Linked DNA regions of Arabidopsis thaliana. The protein of the gene in region 2 interacts with the protein of the main gene of each other region in a pairwise test. Each region holds a gene or a part of one and is shown on either strand. Other genes may lie near its edges.

Evidence for each region.
Region 1: the proteins of PHT4;1 (region 2) and AT3G26370 interact in a protein complementation assay, tested with the Arabidopsis thaliana proteins (one large-scale study listed by BioGRID).
Region 3: the proteins of PHT4;1 (region 2) and TRX5 interact in a protein complementation assay, tested with the Arabidopsis thaliana proteins (one large-scale study listed by BioGRID).
Region 4: the proteins of PHT4;1 (region 2) and AT5G03345 interact in a protein complementation assay, tested with the Arabidopsis thaliana proteins (one large-scale study listed by BioGRID).

What each region holds. Positions count from the first base shown.
Region 1 is NC_003074.8:9,655,053-9,660,480, forward strand, and holds AT3G26370 (O-fucosyltransferase family protein), read left to right. Parts: upstream 1-1,627; 5' UTR 1,628-1,833; coding exon 1,834-2,142; intron 2,143-2,317; coding exon 2,318-2,368; intron 2,369-2,460; coding exon 2,461-2,551; intron 2,552-2,721; coding exon 2,722-2,798; intron 2,799-2,922; coding exon 2,923-3,011; intron 3,012-3,104; coding exon 3,105-3,224; intron 3,225-3,399; coding exon 3,400-3,516; intron 3,517-3,612; coding exon 3,613-3,756; intron 3,757-3,844; coding exon 3,845-3,968; coding exon of another isoform or gene 3,969-4,031; exon of another isoform or gene 4,032-4,056; coding exon 4,057-4,248; intron 4,249-4,329; coding exon 4,330-4,689; 3' UTR 4,690-4,893; downstream 4,894-5,428. Other genes in the region: AT3G26360 (Ribosomal protein S21 family protein), read right to left, coding at 911-920, 1,026-1,321; AT3G26380 (Melibiase family protein), read left to right, coding at 5,088-5,167, 5,263-5,416. UniProt on the Arabidopsis thaliana protein: Glycosyltransferase involved in the biosynthesis of pectic type-II arabinogalactans.
Region 2 is NC_003071.7:12,672,582-12,677,643, forward strand, and holds PHT4;1 (phosphate transporter 4;1), read right to left. Parts: upstream 3,497-5,062; 5' UTR 3,423-3,496; coding exon 3,063-3,422; exon of another isoform or gene 2,988-3,062; coding exon 2,880-2,987; intron 2,748-2,879; coding exon 2,592-2,747; intron 2,503-2,591; coding exon 2,287-2,502; intron 2,199-2,286; coding exon 1,989-2,198; intron 1,903-1,988; coding exon 1,765-1,902; intron 1,687-1,764; coding exon of another isoform or gene 1,678-1,686; exon of another isoform or gene 1,668-1,677; coding exon 1,500-1,667; intron 1,411-1,499; coding exon 1,326-1,410; intron 1,202-1,325; coding exon 1,104-1,201; 3' UTR 720-1,103; downstream 1-719. Other genes in the region: JOSL (JOSEPHIN-like protein), read left to right, coding at 328-719; AT2G29654 (uncharacterized protein), read right to left, coding at 4,698-4,880. UniProt on the Arabidopsis thaliana protein: Specific for inorganic phosphate transport across the thylakoid membrane in a sodium dependent manner. Binds glutamate but cannot transport it. May act as an ascorbate transporter at the thylakoid membrane.
Region 3 is NC_003070.9:17,074,418-17,078,380, forward strand, and holds TRX5 (thioredoxin H-type 5), read right to left. Parts: upstream 2,001-3,963; 5' UTR 1,840-2,000; coding exon 1,753-1,839; intron 1,117-1,752; coding exon 847-1,116; 3' UTR 525-846; downstream 1-524. Other genes in the region: AT1G45150 (alpha-1,6-mannosyl-glycoprotein 2-beta-N-acetylglucosaminyltransferase), read right to left, coding at 3,198-3,362, 3,441-3,563, 3,642-3,815.
Region 4 is NC_003076.8:812,464-816,138, forward strand, and holds AT5G03345 (membrane magnesium transporter-like protein), read left to right. Parts: upstream 1-1,621; 5' UTR 1,622-1,732; coding exon 1,733-1,809; intron 1,810-1,906; coding exon of another isoform or gene 1,907-1,910; coding exon 1,911-1,959; intron 1,960-2,060; coding exon 2,061-2,252; 3' UTR 2,253-2,844; intron 2,845-2,927; coding exon of another isoform or gene 2,928-3,015; 3' UTR 3,016-3,156; downstream 3,157-3,675. Other genes in the region: AtCDC48C (ATPase, AAA-type, CDC48 protein), read right to left, coding at 1-73, 333-495, 642-670; AT5G03350 (Legume lectin family protein), read right to left, coding at 3,341-3,675. UniProt on the Arabidopsis thaliana protein: Mediates Mg(2+) transport.

The DNA.
Region 1 (5,428 bases), on a different chromosome or scaffold from region 2:
TTACTCGGTCCAATTTATCTAAAACCCAAATAAAAAGATCTCGATTTTAGGAGAGACAGGGTTAAGGACTTACAGTAACAGTCATGAATATGTCAATCTTTCTACTTCAGCTCACTCCAGGGGAAAGATGTTGATTCTCAGAGCAACTTACGAAAACTTGTCGAATATGTCAGTAAACTATGAACATGTTAAGATATGTCTCCCATAGATCAAGAAGGCCGCAGATTAGTTAGCGCAAATCTGATGCGAAACACGTTGCTTCTGCAGGTAGATACTCTGTTCTCTGCTCAATTTCTGCAGCATCAAACATGAAACCAACTCTGCAATGCCGGTTACTGCAAACGTTGACAAAGACAACTACCAATCGAGCCTGACCAAACAGATACTAGTAAAAAAGCTGGAAGCAAACTGAAAACTAAACCCATACAAAAGGTATTTTCCACGATCTTCGGTGCAATTGTTCTTCCTATATCTCTTATCCCCATTCTTTGGCATGGCATGGTATATAGTAACATGAATATACATAAAATGAAAGTGTAAACGCCTGGAAAGAGCTAACCTACGCTTTACACGCGAAGAAAGCAGAACAATCTCAGAGTAATCATGGCCGGAACAAGAAACACAATTCAAGCACAGAGACCCACAGAACACAGTCATACAGAGTGCAGGAGAAGCAACGCACTTGCCCTGAAACAACTTTCAATACATGTACTCCTAAGATCTGATGTTCTTTCTCAAGATCATTGAAAACTTACGAAAGAGAAGCCATAGAGTAAACAACTAATCAAATCCAAAATTCCAATTCCACATTGATTCAACTCATCAAAAGTTCAAAATGTAAAACTGTGTTATATCACACACAGATACTAGTACTGATCAACATAGCAGCACTCTTGCTTCACCTCAGCTCTCATAAACCTCTGCAAAGAATAACAATAAGAAATACGCAAGATCTTACTAAACTAAACAACACCATTAAAACCCTAAAAAATGTGAAGCTTTTGAGAAAAATCAGAAAACATTACCTGACTTTCTTGATGAGGATTGATTGGAGTTTTCGAGCAAAGTCAATGGATTTGATTCTGCGTTCAAGATTCTTCCTAGCGAGAACCTTCTTCTCCGAATTCTTAATGTGATGAGTCTGAGTCCCTTTGATCAGCCTCTCCATTCCACTCGATTGCATCTTCTTCTGCAAAATCGTCAGTGCCTTGTCTAAATCATTGGAGAACACCTTCACTCTTATCCCTCGCTCTTGCTGCAACTGCTGGTTTAGACTCGGACGAGTCACCAACCCCGTAACTCGCTTCGCTATCGTGTTCATCTCTTTTACTTGTTTTCTGAAAAAGTATGTTTCTGAAAACGTAAATGAGATTGACGAGAGACAGTGATAGGATCTGAATTCGACTTACCGGTCGGAATCTCGCCGGAGAGAATCAAAGAGCCAATTTGAGTGATGATGGAGAATGTCTAGGTTAAAAAAGAGGCGATGGAGGAAATGAGATAAAAACCAGAGAATTTACTAATATAGGGGTGGTTATGTAAGTTTTATGAGATATAGGGATGTTTTTGTAAATATCCTTAAATCTAATCTTCTGTTTGATTCAGAGAGTATTGACTTTAAAGAAGAACATTCAAGCCTTTCAAAAAAAAAAAGCTTCTTTAATTTCTCTCTCTCTCTGTGGAGTGTTCGAATCTCCAAGCTCTCTCTCAAATGGCAGCGTCCACATAGTAGAGCTGAAGAAGCACTGTATCTATCTACAGAGAAAGTGAAGAGGAAGAAAAGGAAGAGAGGATATAGAAATTAAGCTGGCGACTTTTAGTCCGAGGCGAGCAATGGCAGAGTTACGGCACTCGAGCTCTCTCGGTAGCCGATCTTCTTCTTCTCCGTTACGTGCCGCCGGAGATGAGGATTCTTCATCGCCTCATGTACACGATCACTCTCCTAACGGCGGAGACGACGAAGATGGTCGCCCACGTCATCCTTCTAGAGATCGAGACCGTCCGATCTGGTTTCACTCTTTGTTTCCTTTCTTCGGTGATGATCCTAGGGTTTCTCCTCAGAAGAATAAAATCTCGCTTCTATTGATTTTGATTCTCGCTATTGCTAGCTTGATCTCAGTTTATGGGATTATTAATCACTTGGTAAGTCTCTTCCTTCGATCTAGGAATTGAGATCTTCAAGGCTCTATGTTCTAACTGTGGAATCGATTTGGAAAAGTATTTAGCTTTGTTTTGAGTAAAGGGGTTTGTTTATTTAGGTGGATTTGGATTGACATTGTTCTCAGACTAAGATTGCTTCTATGTCTATCTTCTGCAGAATGCTCCTTATTTATGTAAAAAAGATGGGATTGTGCTAAACTGTCCTCATGTAAGTGTTTGAAAACTTTGGTTATGTGTTTTGTTGAATGCATAAGCTTTGAATCCTGTAAATTTAATTGTGTGTTGGTTTGCATTTGTAAGGTAAAAGAGTCACCTTCTCCTTGGGAGAATCCTTTATCTGCAACAACTTCTTGGAAGCCTTGTGCTGAGCGGCGGATTGGTGGAATCTCAGGTATTGAAGGGCTAGAGCATTGTCATTTTCATTGTCATGTGTTATTTTTTTTTTTTATTTTTTTTTTTTCGTCGAAACACATTGTCATGTGTTATTGATCTGTCTTTTCGTGAAAGTTCAAGTCTTTTTCCTTGGTTAGCTTATTAGATTGTGTCAACTGTTTTTTTCAGATCTTCCTCCTGAGAATGAAACAAATGGCTATGTATTCATTCATGCTGAAGGTGGTTTGAATCAGCAGCGAATTGCTGTATGTATCTTCCAACTTTTATCTCTTTTTCTTCTCGCCATTATCCAATCATGGATCAATGTCTAAATGGCTGTTGTTCTTCTTGCCATCGTCCAATCTTGAATTCATGCCCTTTTGTTTCCAGATCTGCAACGCAGTAGCTGTTGCCAAGATTATGAATGCAACACTGATTCTACCAGTACTGAAGCAGGACCAAATATGGAAAGACACAACGTAAAATCATATTCAGATATTGATTTCATTTCATCTTGAATTACTTCTCTATTTTCTTTTTGGTTTACTGAGCTTGTTAACTTTCTTTTGCAGAAAATTTGAAGACATTTTTGATGTAGATCATTTCATTGATTACTTGAAGGATGATGTCCGAATTGTTCGAGACATACCTGACTGGTTCACTGACAAAGCAGAGCTATTCTCTAGTATAAGGTTTGCTTGTCAACTCATTATTTGTTGATGATGTACTTGTTGGACGATTTCAAAAGTTAGCTTGTGGAATTATGGCGTCACTGGGTGCTCCTTGTGTATATCTCTGATTTAAAAATCGATCTGTATTTTTTAATCAGATATGATGTTGACCAAGTTATTTATTTATCTTCTGCAGAAGAACAGTCAAAAACATTCCCAAATATGCAGCAGCCCAATTTTATATTGACAATGTTTTACCTCGGATAAAGGAGAAGAAGATAATGGCCTTGAAGCCTTTTGTCGATCGACTTGGGTATAACCAATATTCCTATAGTTTAGTGCTCAGATTTTGGAAATCGTCTTATAAACAATGAATGATTTATTCTTGTGATGCTGGAAATTTTTTCAGGTATGACAATGTACCTCAAGAAATCAACAGATTACGATGCCGTGTAAATTATCATGCTCTCAAATTTCTTCCAGAGATAGAGCAGATGGCTGATTCACTTGTTTCTAGAATGAGAAATCGCACTGGAAATCCAAATCCATATATGTATGCCATATCAGAGATTCGACTTTGTTATAACTTAGGACCATATGCATTATATCAACTTAAAACTATACCCATGTCTCTTGTATAGGGCTCTTCATCTTAGATTCGAGAAAGGAATGGTTGGTCTATCGTTCTGTGATTTTGTGGGGACAAGGGAAGAGAAAGTTAAAATGGCAGAATACAGACAAAAGGAATGGCCTCGGCGTTTCAAGGTGACATTTATAAGCAGTTGTCAACTTCTTTTGGTGGCTAAACAACCTCAACCGCTACCTTAATGAAATTTCTTGACATATATTGCAGAATGGTTCCCATCTCTGGCAGCTCGCCTTGCAGAAGCGCAAAGAAGGTCGATGCCCTCTTGAGCCAGGAGAAGTTGCTGTGATCCTACGTGCAATGGGCTATCCAAAAGAAACACAAATCTATGTTGCATCTGGTCAAGTCTATGGCGGTCAAAACCGTATGGCTCCACTAAGAAACATGTTCCCAAATTTGGTAAGCACAACACCGGACTCTTATAATTCTTTGATGAATCAGCACAAACTTGTCTCTCACATTAACTGTCCTTTGAATCAGGTAACAAAGGAGGATTTAGCAGGCAAAGAGGAACTAACAACGTTTAGAAAACACGTTACAAGTCTTGCGGCTCTAGATTTCTTGGTGTGCTTGAAATCAGATGTATTTGTGATGACACACGGTGGAAACTTTGCAAAACTGATCATCGGAGCGCGTAGATATATGGGGCATCGCCAGAAATCAATCAAACCGGATAAAGGGTTGATGTCGAAATCATTTGGGGATCCTTACATGGGATGGGCAACTTTTGTGGAAGATGTAGTTGTAACCCATCAAACACGAACCGGTTTACCTGAAGAAACTTTCCCTAACTATGATCTTTGGGAAAATCCTCTCACTCCATGCATGTGTAAAGCTTGATGATGATGCTTTTGTTTGGTCTTGGATTTTGTCTGATGAGGAGCAACAAACTATAGAGATTCGTAGTTTTCTTCTTCTTCTTCTTCTTTTTTGACCTTTCAAATCTTTGAAGTCTTCATTTACCATCTTTGTAATCATTTTGATATTATGTAAAGTTCCTAGTGATGAAAAAAAAGTTTCTTTTTTATATTAAATTTGATCAAATTGATGCACTAAACTTTAATTAAAAGAAAATTAGCTCAACGGTTACTAATCCAATTCTTAATTTTTTGTCACGCTCTCTAATAGTACCCGCCATTAACACAACCATTGCGTGTTGTCTTCTCTCTTACTCTCAGGTTCTCAACAACAAAAGAGGAAAACAAAATCAGAAGCTATCGTAATCAGTTCTCATCTCTATGACCGGACTATCCGTAGAGAAAACCGGGTCGACCCGGTCCACTGTCTTCTTCATCATCTTTAATCTATCCATTTTTAGGTACTCCGCTTCACTGGGTTTTTGAATTTGATTTTGGTTTTTGAGTGGGTGGTGTTTGAGTGATCGATCAATCACAAAAGTTTCGTCTTTTTCAGTTTATCGATTGAAGCAAGGTCGAGGCAACAACATGCTAGCTTTCCTCCAAGAGGATGGAATTCGTACGATTCCTTTTGTTGGACTATCTCTGAAGCTGAGTTCTTGCAGAGTGCTGAAATTGTTTCTAAGCGTCTTCTTCCTCATGGTTATCAGGTAATTGTGAGT
Region 2 (5,062 bases):
CTCTATGGCTGCCTTTGCTTTCCAAATTTCGGCGTTTAAGTTTCTGATATCTTTAGATCTGTTAGTTATTACAATCCTTTTGACATAAAGTATCTAAAGTAAGTATGAAATTGAACCTACCTGCTTATATTTTATTTGTATATGTTTTGAATGTCTACAGTAATCATTGCTTTAAGTGTTAACATGTCATTATTGATACATTATTAAGAATCATGGCTTCTCTGGTCTCTACCTGAACTCTTATAGGCAACTTGTTCAGCATCAATCCCTATAAATATAATCCCTTACTCTCCTCAAGTTTGTTCTCACTCTCTCTTGATATGTCAGCTACAGGAACAAAACGGTTCAATGCAAACACTAGACCAGTAACTCCTGGTAAGCAATCCTCAGTCAAGGGACCATATTATAAGAATCCGGGATGCACAACAAGCTGTGGTTTGAGGCTACCGAGGAAAACGGAATGCACAGCAGCAAGACTGATCAAAGATCTCAGCTGTAAATTCGTTATGGGCTTACGTCTGGTGGTGATGAGGAAGAAGAAGAAGAAGAGATCTCCACCATTGAAGAAGGCTTCTTCTTCTGGGATATCTCAGCCTTCAGTCATCTCTGTCGTTAATGATAATAATCACAGATCAGCGGCAATAGAAGACTGCATACAATTCATAAACTCCTCTTCCTCCTTCACAAGATCAAATTCTACCTGTGGCAGTAAATCTTAAGTTTTAGTTATGACCTTAAGTTTCGAAAACTCTTTCTTGGTCACTTGTTTGCTACGCAATAGCATATTAGAGAATTGCGTGTAATATCTTTATGATACAAATATATATAGAGCTGAAGAGAGATTTTGAGTAATCTTGAGAAAGTGTGAGCTTTGTTTATTTACAAAAAATCATCTGTATATCTTTCATCTACAAAGTATTATTCATATGCGTTTGGCCTAAATCAACGAGCAGAAAGATCCTGAAGAATTTTCTGGCAAAAAAGGAATATTCCGGCTAGCTCTCAGACTGCAATGATACTTGTATAATCAGAGACTGGCGTGAGGTGAAGTTGCACCTGATGAGAGGTCTTGGAGCCGAACTATTTACTATTCTCGGAATGGATCAATCGATTATCTTCTCTCCGGTTGAAAATAGGTTCCAAATGACGGTCCCAACGAGGTAAAGACCGACCGAAATCGTGAAAACGTCATCCCAAGAACCTGAGGCATTTCATGTCATTGTTAATTCCATTGAGAAAACACAAAAAAAATGAAACTTAGAAGAGATTTTATAAAGATTAAGCAAAGCATTGTCAGAATTACGAAGTGTTTTGAGAGTACTGACCGTGTTGTAGTATGTGACCAGTCGCAGCTGTGCCAAGAACTCCGGCAAGTACTCCAGCAGTATTAGACAAACCAAGTAACACTCCCTGAGAAGACCAACAACATCAATGTGCTAATCCATTTTCTTTTGAGTAGCATGATTCATTAAGACTTGGGAGTAATTGACTAAACTTACAGAGTATCTTGGAGCGATGTCTTGATGGTTAGAGTATAGACCAGACTGTGAAAACGCATCAGTCCCCTGACTACAAGCCATGCACAAAACAGCCATTGTAGGAGAATCTATGTGTTTCAGCTGTGTTAGGAAGAACGCTGGTCCAAGAAACCCTATTGTTTGCATTATCTGAATTTCATCATAGAAACTGATTATCGAATGTATCACTTTTACTAGATTGCATCAAAACGGAACTGAAGAACAGAAGAAGTGATATACAAAGTACCTTGCGGACATTCGTGACAGAGAAACCTCGGCTGACAAGTGTATCGGCAATCCATCCACCGGCATTTGCAGATATTGCCATTGTCATCCATGGAAATACAGAGAGAAGTCCTGACTCCATAAGGTTGAACTTCAGCACCTGCCTCACAACCGTCCATATGATTAATGATAAGAAAACAAATAAAACATCAAGCCTCTTGATTAAAAGACAGTAATATAACGGACTTGATGGTAATAAGTTGGCATCCATGTTAAGAGAATGAATGTTCCCCAGTTGTGACAAAAGTGGCAACTGATGAGAGCCCAAACCGGTGGTTTCGACAATATCAGCCTCCACGGGATCGACTTCACTGGCTCTTTGCTAGCACAGTTGTCTGCAATTAGCTTTCTTTCTTCAGGGAGCAATGTTGGATCTTCTAATGGTGAACTCTCTGCCTATAACAAGTAACAACACACGTCAAATCGTCAATGGTAATGAGATATGGGATCTACAAATAGTTAAGAACAGTAGAAAAAGTCTGACCTTAGTTAGCCACAGAGTCAACCATACAGTTCCAAGAGACCCGAAAGAATAAAACACAGAAGGCCATCCAAATTGATGAATCAAGAAAGGCGAAAAGGCTAAACCGGTGACAGATCCAAGGTACATTCCGCTGTAAACAAGCGCGAGTGATCTGCTTCTCTCTTGCACAGGAACCCACTTCGACAATATATTATTCATAGCAGGCATTGCAACACCCTGGAGAACACAAATGAGAACTTACTTCTCCTTATCAACACACACAAATCCGAGACTGATATCTAACATCACTAAGAGTAATCACAAACCTCTCCAACTCCCATGAAAGCACGAACAACGAGCAAGTAAGGAAGACCGAGTTTAGCAGCTACAGGAGTGAGAATTGTAGCGATTGACCACCAAATAACACCGAATCCAAGAACCCTTTTCCCTCCTACAGTGTCTGCCCAAATTCCACCAGCTATCTATAATATCAACAAACCACTGATTCAACTACACTTTTGATTTAAATGTGAAAGCTAGTGAGACTCATTTAAAAAAACATTGATCATCTAAAAATAGAAACCCTAATTAAGGAATCAGGGAAAAAAGATTACCTGTGTAAGAAGGTAACCCCAGAAGAAAGAAGACTGAATCAGACCAACTGTTGCTGGATTCCAACCATACTCAGCTGACATCGGAAGTATAGCTATACTCATATTCACCTGTTAAAACATCATCTGTCCCAAATTGAATAACTCTTCCCAATCCATAAAAATCCAATCTTTTTTGCTACTTACTCTGTCCATATTGCAGAGAAGAAAAGCTGAGAAACAGAGTAACACAATCACCCACCGCTTCGGAAACTCTTCCCACCATGGGAGGACGATAGAGCTAGGCGAATCAGAAACGACGTCATTGTTTCCACTTACTTTATCTCCTTCTACGTAATACGAATTACTGCTTTCACTCTTGTCGGAGCTCCGAACTAATACCCGGAAAACACTGGACCTATTTCGCGGGTAGATCCATACCCGTAACGACTTTGGAGATGGTTTGAGATTACGGAGGCTGCGAGAAGAAGAGGTTTTTTCAGGTGGACGATTTGAAGTGTAGAGAGAGTGAATATTTGAAGAGCAAAGAAGAGCTCTCGCGTTCATGGCGGAGATAGATTTTTTCTTCTTCTTCTCTGTTTTTTTCTTCTTTGTTTTAAGAGAGAGGAATTGATTTTTTTTTAAGGTCGTGGCTGATGTGACGACATGTGGCGTTTAAGTATTGGTTGAGTGAGGATGTCATAATCTAACGGGAAGTAACGGTTAACAGAATAACTATTGGAGGTCCATTATTAACTATCAGTTTAACATAAAGCCCATATAAGGCCCAAATAATGTTAGCTTACGAGCATAAATTGCGAGATCTATCTTACTTCCCCAATGAAAAAAAAATCTCAAAGATTTGGAAGTAGACCTATGAATAGAATTACAATAATACGGCAATACCAATAACAATAGTTTATTGTCCGTAAGGATATGAGTATGACCAGTGATCTACTTTATGTGGAATAAAGGCAGGATCCAAAGGTGGAACCCAAACCACCCACTAATTGCGTTCACAAAGATGCGAAAGAATATTTAATCCAACAATTGATTAAGTATCCCATGCGAGAGAGTATTGATCATGATATTCAAAATTAAGTGTAAAATGTCAATTTGTATGAACGTATGGGATAATAATGTTGAGGACGAATAGACAGAGGTAAATGTCAATCAAATTTGGTAATGTTTGATGTATTCTTAGTCGATTACATTGATTACATTCTTACATATTTGTAAATTAGTGAAATGTATGAAATATATGTAGCTAGATAGAACAAAGAATCTATAAAACTTGTAACAAAATCACAATTAGAAGATTAACGTTTGCAGCTTTCTTATTTATTAATGGAGGAGGTCCAAGTTTAGGGGATGAGAATGATGTAAGATTGTGGTGCGGCAGATTTTACTCATCGAAGGTGTCCCTTCTGGTCTACCATAAGAATTTCCTAGCTTAGGCTTTTATGAATTATGACTGCCACTTTTATTTATTTTATTCTTCTTTTAAGTCATCATTATTGTTGTTGTATCGTTATTTCTTTGTTGCATGCGTTATCCATTTACCAACATCTACCACTGTGTCGTCAAGGTCTTCCAAAATCTAAACGAAACGTAAAATTTATGTACCAGTAATTCATCACTCCTAAAAAAACACTTGATGATTTTCACCAATTGATATAACGACGTAACGAGATCACTAAACTATACGGATCATGCATGTTGATCTATCGGCACGTAATATTGTAGGTGTAGACTATAACCTAGGTTATGGTATTCAATTCAAAGACGTCCAATTCAGAAATATGAGATGGTGTCATGTTACTATTAGATCCGTACCAGTCACTAAACAAGAAGGCAAGATTCATTTCTCAAGAGGTAGAAACGCAAACTTAGGCCGTAAAGACACAAGAATGCCAACTTCATGTGGATGGAGACAGGAAGAGCTTCGAAATGACCCACTTTCCAAAAGTACATGCTTCTCTCACGTGGCCCACTTCTCCAATTATCATTCACCATTTCAATCATTCATCACTAACTCTCCTTTCTCTATTATTTTATTTCTATATTTATTAGCTAAACGACATCTAAGCTATAACCAAATTACACTTTCTAGATTTGGTTATATGAGAAAAAATAATACGTTTTTTAGTTTGTACAATGTGATATTCTCTACCGACAATGTGATGAAAATAATTTATCCAACCAAG
Region 3 (3,963 bases), on a different chromosome or scaffold from region 2:
ATTATCCCCAACCTTCATCCATAAACTCCTACTTTTCTGGTACCAATATTGTTCTTCATCTATATAAGCCTCCTTCAACCGTATTGTTAAATCCGTTATCTCCTCACTTGTTCTCGAATCATCTCTCTGTGCCGCATCTATGAACTCATTTTTAATATGAACTATGAACTCATCTTTTATTGCAGTAGGGAAAACTGATCTATCCTCGTGTGCTATTGATATGGATTATTTTTGTAGTGGATCACTAACCAAGTCCTACCAGCTCTAACCTGCTGTATGCAGTCTGACGCTTGTTCAAGTAGAGTCACTATGTGTCTATGCTAGTCCCATCGACAGGCCTACTCTGACGCGCCTAGAGGGAACGAGCGGCTGGCTTTGGATCTAAAGAGCATAGGGAAATGTTTGAATCTACAGGTCAGCTTCATCTTCTCTTGTTTTCTCTGTTTCAGTTCTTGTTCAAGGATAAAAACAGAGAAACGTTGGATAAAACTTCAAGGAACTTAAAGAGATATAGACGTGACGTAGATGGAGAAATATGAGCTGTTGAAAGTGATTTTTCCATAGTATTACATAACATTTTCACACATTTATAGTGGAAATCAGAGAACTAATCACTGCTCTGTTCATAACTACATATTTTCAACCTACGCTCTCTTATCGTGTTTAAAACCAGTCTTAATGTGTGTCGCTATTTTCGTGTTCGTGGTTGAAGCCAAGAGATAACAAACCAGTAATCGAAAAATCAACATAGTTATAATACAAATGTGCAGTAGCAATGCATCACTTTTATTTCATACGAAAGATAAAAACTTTATTATGATGCAAAGAGTTAGAAACTGAAATCAATCAAGCAGAAGCTACAAGACCACCATGCTTCATCAGCTTCTCATTGATCTCATCTTTCGCAGCACCGACAACACGATCAATGATGTTGCCTTCTTTCATGAAAACAAAAGTAGGCATTGCCTCAACTTTGAATTCCTGAGCAACAGCTTGCAATTCATCAACATCGATCTTGAAGAAGACAACATTAGTGAACTTCTTAGCCATCTCTGCAAACACTGGTGCAATGAAACGGCAAGGTGGACACCATGATGCTGTGAAGTCTATCACAATCTGGTTTCAATCAAAATTTCAGAACAAATCAGAACACAAACATCATTCACCACTAAACTAACTAATCAAGAAAACCCTAAACCATAACGTAATCAAATCAAATTGAAAAAAAGCCCTGGACATAACAAGAGAAAGTAAAGTTTCTATAATTTCAGACCATATCAGGATACAATTATCATTCACCACTAAGGTAGCTAATCAAGACGAACCGTAATCCCTAAGTAAAGTAATCAAATCAAATTGAACAAAACCCTAGACAGGACAAGAGAAAGTTCTAGCTTCTATCAATTTGGGACCACCAGAGCAAGATATGGGACAAGAACGGGATCAAAAGCAACCGTTTCTCGAACATCATTCACCATTAAGCTAACTAACCAAGAAAGCCCTAAACCCTAAGTAACGTAACCAACTCAAATTAAAAAACAAAAAAAACCCTAGACAGGACGAGAAAATACCAGTTTCTATCAAATTTCAGACCAAATCAAGACATGGTACATGAACATGATAAAAACCAAGGTTTTGTATCTAACATGAATTACCAGTTTACCACTAGATCAAGAAAACTGAAAACCCTAAGTAAAGTAATCAAATCAAATAGAAGAAGAAACCCTAGAGAGGAGAAGAAGAGAAAAGTACCAGTTTCTTGGATTCATTGGCGTCTTTGACCTTCTCGTTCCAAACTTCGAGGGTATGGCAAGCAATCACTTCTCCTTCACCGGCCATTTTTATTATTTGTTCTTAAGCTTTTAAGAGTTTTGTTTGATTGATGAGTTTTTTTTGGTGAATGAAAGAATTATTCTTGTTGGGATCAGCTTTTATAGGCAAGACTTGACCACCTATACCTCTACCTCTTCTCGGTCTTTTTTTTTAATTATTTTCCTAAAATGAGTTCGATCTTGACGCGTAGGAGTGTGAAGGGATCCAACGGTTTATATTAAACGATTAAAGAATAGGCATGAGTCTAGGTCAACGGCGTGATGATGGTAACGAGTAACGACAGTTCTAGATGTAGAAGACACGCATGTTTTGTGTGCACGATATATGAGTTTATCCGTTCTTTTCTCGTCCTTGCAGATATAAAAAAGTAACGTTTGTTTTTGTCGGCACGAATATAAGTTTTTTTCTATGTGATAATTTGTGGACTATTCCGAGCTTTTAGACGTGCAAAGTTGAATGGAAACTTTATCTAAGACAATAAGAAAAATATTATCTATAATATGCTAGATTTATGTTTTGAATAATAATGCAAGCTGTTTTTGATCAATCTTCTTTATTCCTCTAATAAATCAAATTCTAGTAATGTTCTTTCACTAATGATAGAACCGAGAGCTGGCTGTATGTGTGTTTACGCTTTGACACTAATTTTATTCTCAAACGACGTCGTTTTAGACTGATTAACAGTCACTAACGGATAATAACGGGTTTCTAGGTTCTATTAATTACTGATAAAAACATGTCTATTTTGGTCAGGTCAACGAATTGTTCATATCTTAAATGGTAGTCAACGTTTAGTTCATGTTTTAAATGGCCAAGTTGATGTTTAAAATGACCACAATTTAAAACTTGACTAATAAAGTCGTTAACAGATGATAACAGACGTTAGAAGTTCCGTTAATAACTGATAACATCATGTCTATTTTGGCCTGGTCGACGAATGATCATGTTTTAAAAGTTAGTCAACGTTTAGTTCATGTTTTAAACGACCGCATACGAAGTTGACGAATAAAATGGCCATTTTTTGAAAGTTGGGGATTAAATAACATTTTTTCCTAATTTTTAGTCAGTGTAGGTTTTATATCCTTTTTTGTTGGATGATTATGTCTTGTGCCCTTCCATTCATACGTGACTATGATGAATGATATCAACCTAGCACCACATAAAATGAGCTTTTTCAGATACAGTATTTCCCAACAAATTAAAGAATCAGAAGTACAAAGCAAATCTATCTATTTTATTATTTTCATACTAATTAACCTTTTTCACTGGTAATCTAGACATTGTTAGAGTTTTCTTGTTATGTTCTTTTATTATTAACTTAGGGCTAACCGAGAGTGTTTATAGATACTAAACGATCTGGTTACTCAAGATGGTCTACATGTGTTGTACACTTCTCCTCGCAATACATCGATCGGTCTATGTTCCAAAGTGTAGCGCTCCGGCCCCGTGTACACCCCTGTCTTCTCCAATAGCCCCATCGCTTCCTCTCTTCCGTATTTTGACTCATACAGCTTCAAGTACTCATAATCCTGATTCATTCTCCAAATAAGCCAACTGGAACAGTTTTTCGTTGTTATCTGATTGGTAAAACTATAAAGTTGACGTACCTGTAAGCCACTAAGAAGGCGCTCTAGCCTAAGTGAAGCAACTGGCTCTGAAGAAGATGAGAAAACTTCACCGGGGTAGTAAAGAACTCCATCACCAGGAGGAAGACCGCGCCTAAACTTTACCTATTCATTTGGTTATATAATATCATGAAGCAATCGATCAAGAAACATTTACAACAGAACTAAGGATAAGAAAATAACCTCGGCGCTTGGAACCGTTGCCTTCTCATAGCAATTTGCACCCCAGTACAAGAACCCGGTTCCACCTTCTTTCCACACACGCCACATCACTGCCCGTTGCTGTGTACCACGCATCCCCAGATGCCAATTTGGGTGAGGATCTGAAGGTCCAAGGCATATGTATGTCCACCATTCCTGCACCAGCAAGAAAAGTCCTCTTTATGATTCTTGTTGCTAAAATGCTAACACATACAGGACCACTAATGAGCACATCATTAAGATGACCTTGAATCAAATTTAACCATTCCATAACTACAGTACTTTGATCGACATATGATGATTC
Region 4 (3,675 bases), on a different chromosome or scaffold from region 2:
TCATTCTGATCTTGGGTTCCTCACATGTTTCATCAGCGAGGGCAATGCATACAGTGTCCTTCCTCTTCTTACCCTGAAAATCCAAAACCCCAATCAAGTAAGTAATCACAGAGATAAAAAGAACAATCCAAACCAATTCTAAACTCAAAAAAAAAAACTTCAGACAAAAAAGTTGTACCCTAACTGAATATGTTTACAAGATCAGACAAAGTAAAAAACATAACTGAATATGTTTACAACATGCTCGTGATATACAGTCAAGACACAGACGATCCAAACCAAGTCTAAACTCAAAACACCCTAACATAGTGACATAAGGAACAAAACCTAACCTTGATGAGAATTGTATCGCCTCGGAAAAGCTGGAGTTTTTCCATGGTAGTAGGATGGAGAGAGACAACAGAGTTGTCATCGTTAATAGCTTCATCGACAACAAGTCGGTTTGGAGACTTCTTCCTCTCTAGAATCGCAGTACTGAAATCCTTCTTAGTTTTCCTGAAACAAATACCCCAGGAAGACAAACAAAATCAGCTTTCAGATGAGATCAAACTAAAAAACCCTATTCTCAATATCGAAAAACCCAAGTAAAAAAATCGAAACTTTATGATCGGAAAACAAAAATCAAAGATCTAAGTACTTACGAGTCGGAGGATTCCGGTTCGTTTGACATAATGATAGCTTAAACTGACAAGAGAGCTCTAAGAAGGAAGTTGGGAAATTTGTTTCTAGAGAGATCGATTGGTGATGATGATGATGATGATGAATGGGATCTCAAGGGAGCTGAACTCGGGATTTTATACGCTCTGTGATTTCCTTCTTGTTGGAAAAATAAGCGACCCTTAACTTTTAAGTTTATCTTGAAAAGTTCCAAAAACTAGGTGTTGTGATAAATACACCCATGTTCCCTTAACATCATATCAATTAATTTATATTATTATATGATTTATCGAGAATCAAAACAAAAATCTACCTATATGAAGAATTAAAAAATTTGATGTAATTTTAAACTTATTTTAATAGTGTGGCGAGGGTACGTAAATGTTTATTAAAAACGTTATGGGGGAAAGTTGAAAATAAAAGTAAAAGAGAGGTGAGGATAACAGTTTTACTTTCTGGTTTTAGCAAACACAAGAAAGGAATAGAAGGTTCTTAGGTAGCGGTACCAAAGCAAGCTACATGTTTTTCTTACTTTTTTATAAATAGAAATTTAATATCTTACCATTTGATTTCTTTGTTCTAAAATAGATTTCCGTTTTTTTTATACGAAGTTATCAACATACGATTCAATTCAATAATTGCAGAAATTTTTGTTTGCATATGAATATATCATCAATATGAAATTCTAAATAAATATTCATAATTATTTATTATACGAAAAAATAATTATTTTCCCAAAAGATAAACCCTTATTGTTGTAAAAAAGTTATCAAACTAACTGAACTTTCATCTAATTAAAAATATTAGTTACTTAAAAAAAAGTTTGGGTTACAAAAGATTAATAGGAATCTAGGATATCATCAATCTAGAACTACGCGCCGTTGTTAGTCTCTTCGATATTAGACGTTGCGCCGTTTTCACTTTGAGATTTGCGATATTATAACTACATGCCGTTTTAAACTCCACTGATCGTCTTCTATTCTAGTTCGATTCTCGACGGAGAATACTCGACGAGAAAATCCAGATCGGGAATCAACTTAGAGAAGAAGAAAATTAAAAAAGAGAACTTCTAAAGATGAATTTGGGGTTCTTAGTTGGAGTTTTCGGCGTTCTTATTCTTTCTCATGCCGCTTATTCAACAATCCAATGTATGTCTACTCTTCCCAATCCAATTCCAGTTCCAATTGAGTCAGATCTACTTTAATTTTCGAGATAGGATCTTGATTTGGGTTTCTCTTGTTTATTTCAGATAGAGGATTGTTGAAGATTATGGAGGAAGAGTTTTCTCGACCACCGATTAATGTGAGTATATAATGATAACGGTTTCTCTTTTCCTCAATTGTGTTTGAATTATATCAGCAATGATTATGCTTTTATATGAATCATGATTGGATTTATTTAAGGTTATTCTGGAGTTGATCATTGGACTAGCTCTGTGTATGTGGGCTGCTTTGACTTTCCCTGGTAAATTTCTCTCGATCCATCCGGATTCTGATGAAAACAGGTTTGTGATCATGTTTCTCTCGAACTCTCTGTTTTGCATCAGTGTTAATCAATCTGAATTCATGTTATCTAGTGAGTGTTTTTACTATTGAATTTTTCTCTGTTCGTACTTTGTTGAACTTGGTGTAGAGTTACTACGGGTCTTATAGAAGCATCTTCTGGCTAGATTTGGTTCAATTATTCAGTTTAATCATGGGTGTTTCTAGTGAATATGTTTTCTTTTGACTGAGAAGGTTTACGGATGTGTTGTTAATCAATTGATTCAAAGAACTTGTGCTCTAGAGATGTTTCGAGGGTCTAGTTTTGATGTCTCTTTAACTCTCTGTTGTGCATCAGTGTTTATCAATCTGAAACATGGAAATTTGGTAGTTATTATATTTCCCGATGATTGAATGACCACCAAAGACTCATGTTTATTGATAAGAAACTGTCGTCTAGAGATGTTCTAGGTCAAACATTGATGTTTCTTTAATACTTTGTGCAGCTAAGGTTTTCTAAAATGCAGGACATTCAAAGGGACATTTTCTAGTTTATATTTGGTCCAGTTACGATTATGGGTTTCAAGAGCTTTAACCAGTTCTGCTCCTGGCTAATTCAATCAGTTTATATTTGTTTCATTGGCTCTTTAGACCCACTTTGGTTCCTTCTATGTCGCAGCCTCTCCCCTACCTTTTTGTACATTAGGTTCTTGAATTGGTTTTGAGTTTGGCTTTTGCTAGATAAAGTGAATATCTCCTGTTAACTGGTTTCTTTCAAAAAATTTGCAGGGCGGTGTTTTTACCAGATAATTCGGATTTCATGATATTCAATCACCGTGGCAGACTGTTCCCACCGCAGATCGACATGAAGTTTTGAATTTTTATCACACTGCTTAGTCAAACACTGATCTGTGTAATGTTATGAGATGTTTCCATTGAAATTCTACTCTAAGTAACTACTCTGCTTTGCATCAATTTTTGATTCTTGAAACGAGTCTTGTGATGTTTCTGTGTGTCAGGTCTCTACTTAGAATCTTTTAGAATGAAGAATCAACATAACAACAAGTGCACAGGTCCTAGCAGGATAGGATACTGTGTAAATAGTCAAATACAAACAATTAAAACAACAAAATTTGCTATTTTATTCATTCCGGTTACAACTTTCTGATACATTAGAAAAAGCATAACCGAACAGAACCGGTTTAGATTCTCTTGGCACTGTTCTGGAAGGTCCAACTCCAAATGTCATGACGTTCAACGCCACGGCCCATGGCACCAGAAAAACCGGGGTACATATTTTGAAGAAAAACCTTAGAGAGATCTAAATGGGCAACGATCAAAGGCTTCTTAGGTTTCTTAACGGTTTCTGGCGCGAGAGTAACTGTAACCTTGGAGTTTCTATACTCAATCCAAGCCTTGTACCTCTCTCCATTACTCAGCTTGAACTCTTTAAACGACCAGTGTTTCATTTTCCCAATTCCTGTCTGAACCCAATAACCAGCTTTCTCAGCAACAACGGAAGTAACAGAGTTGATAT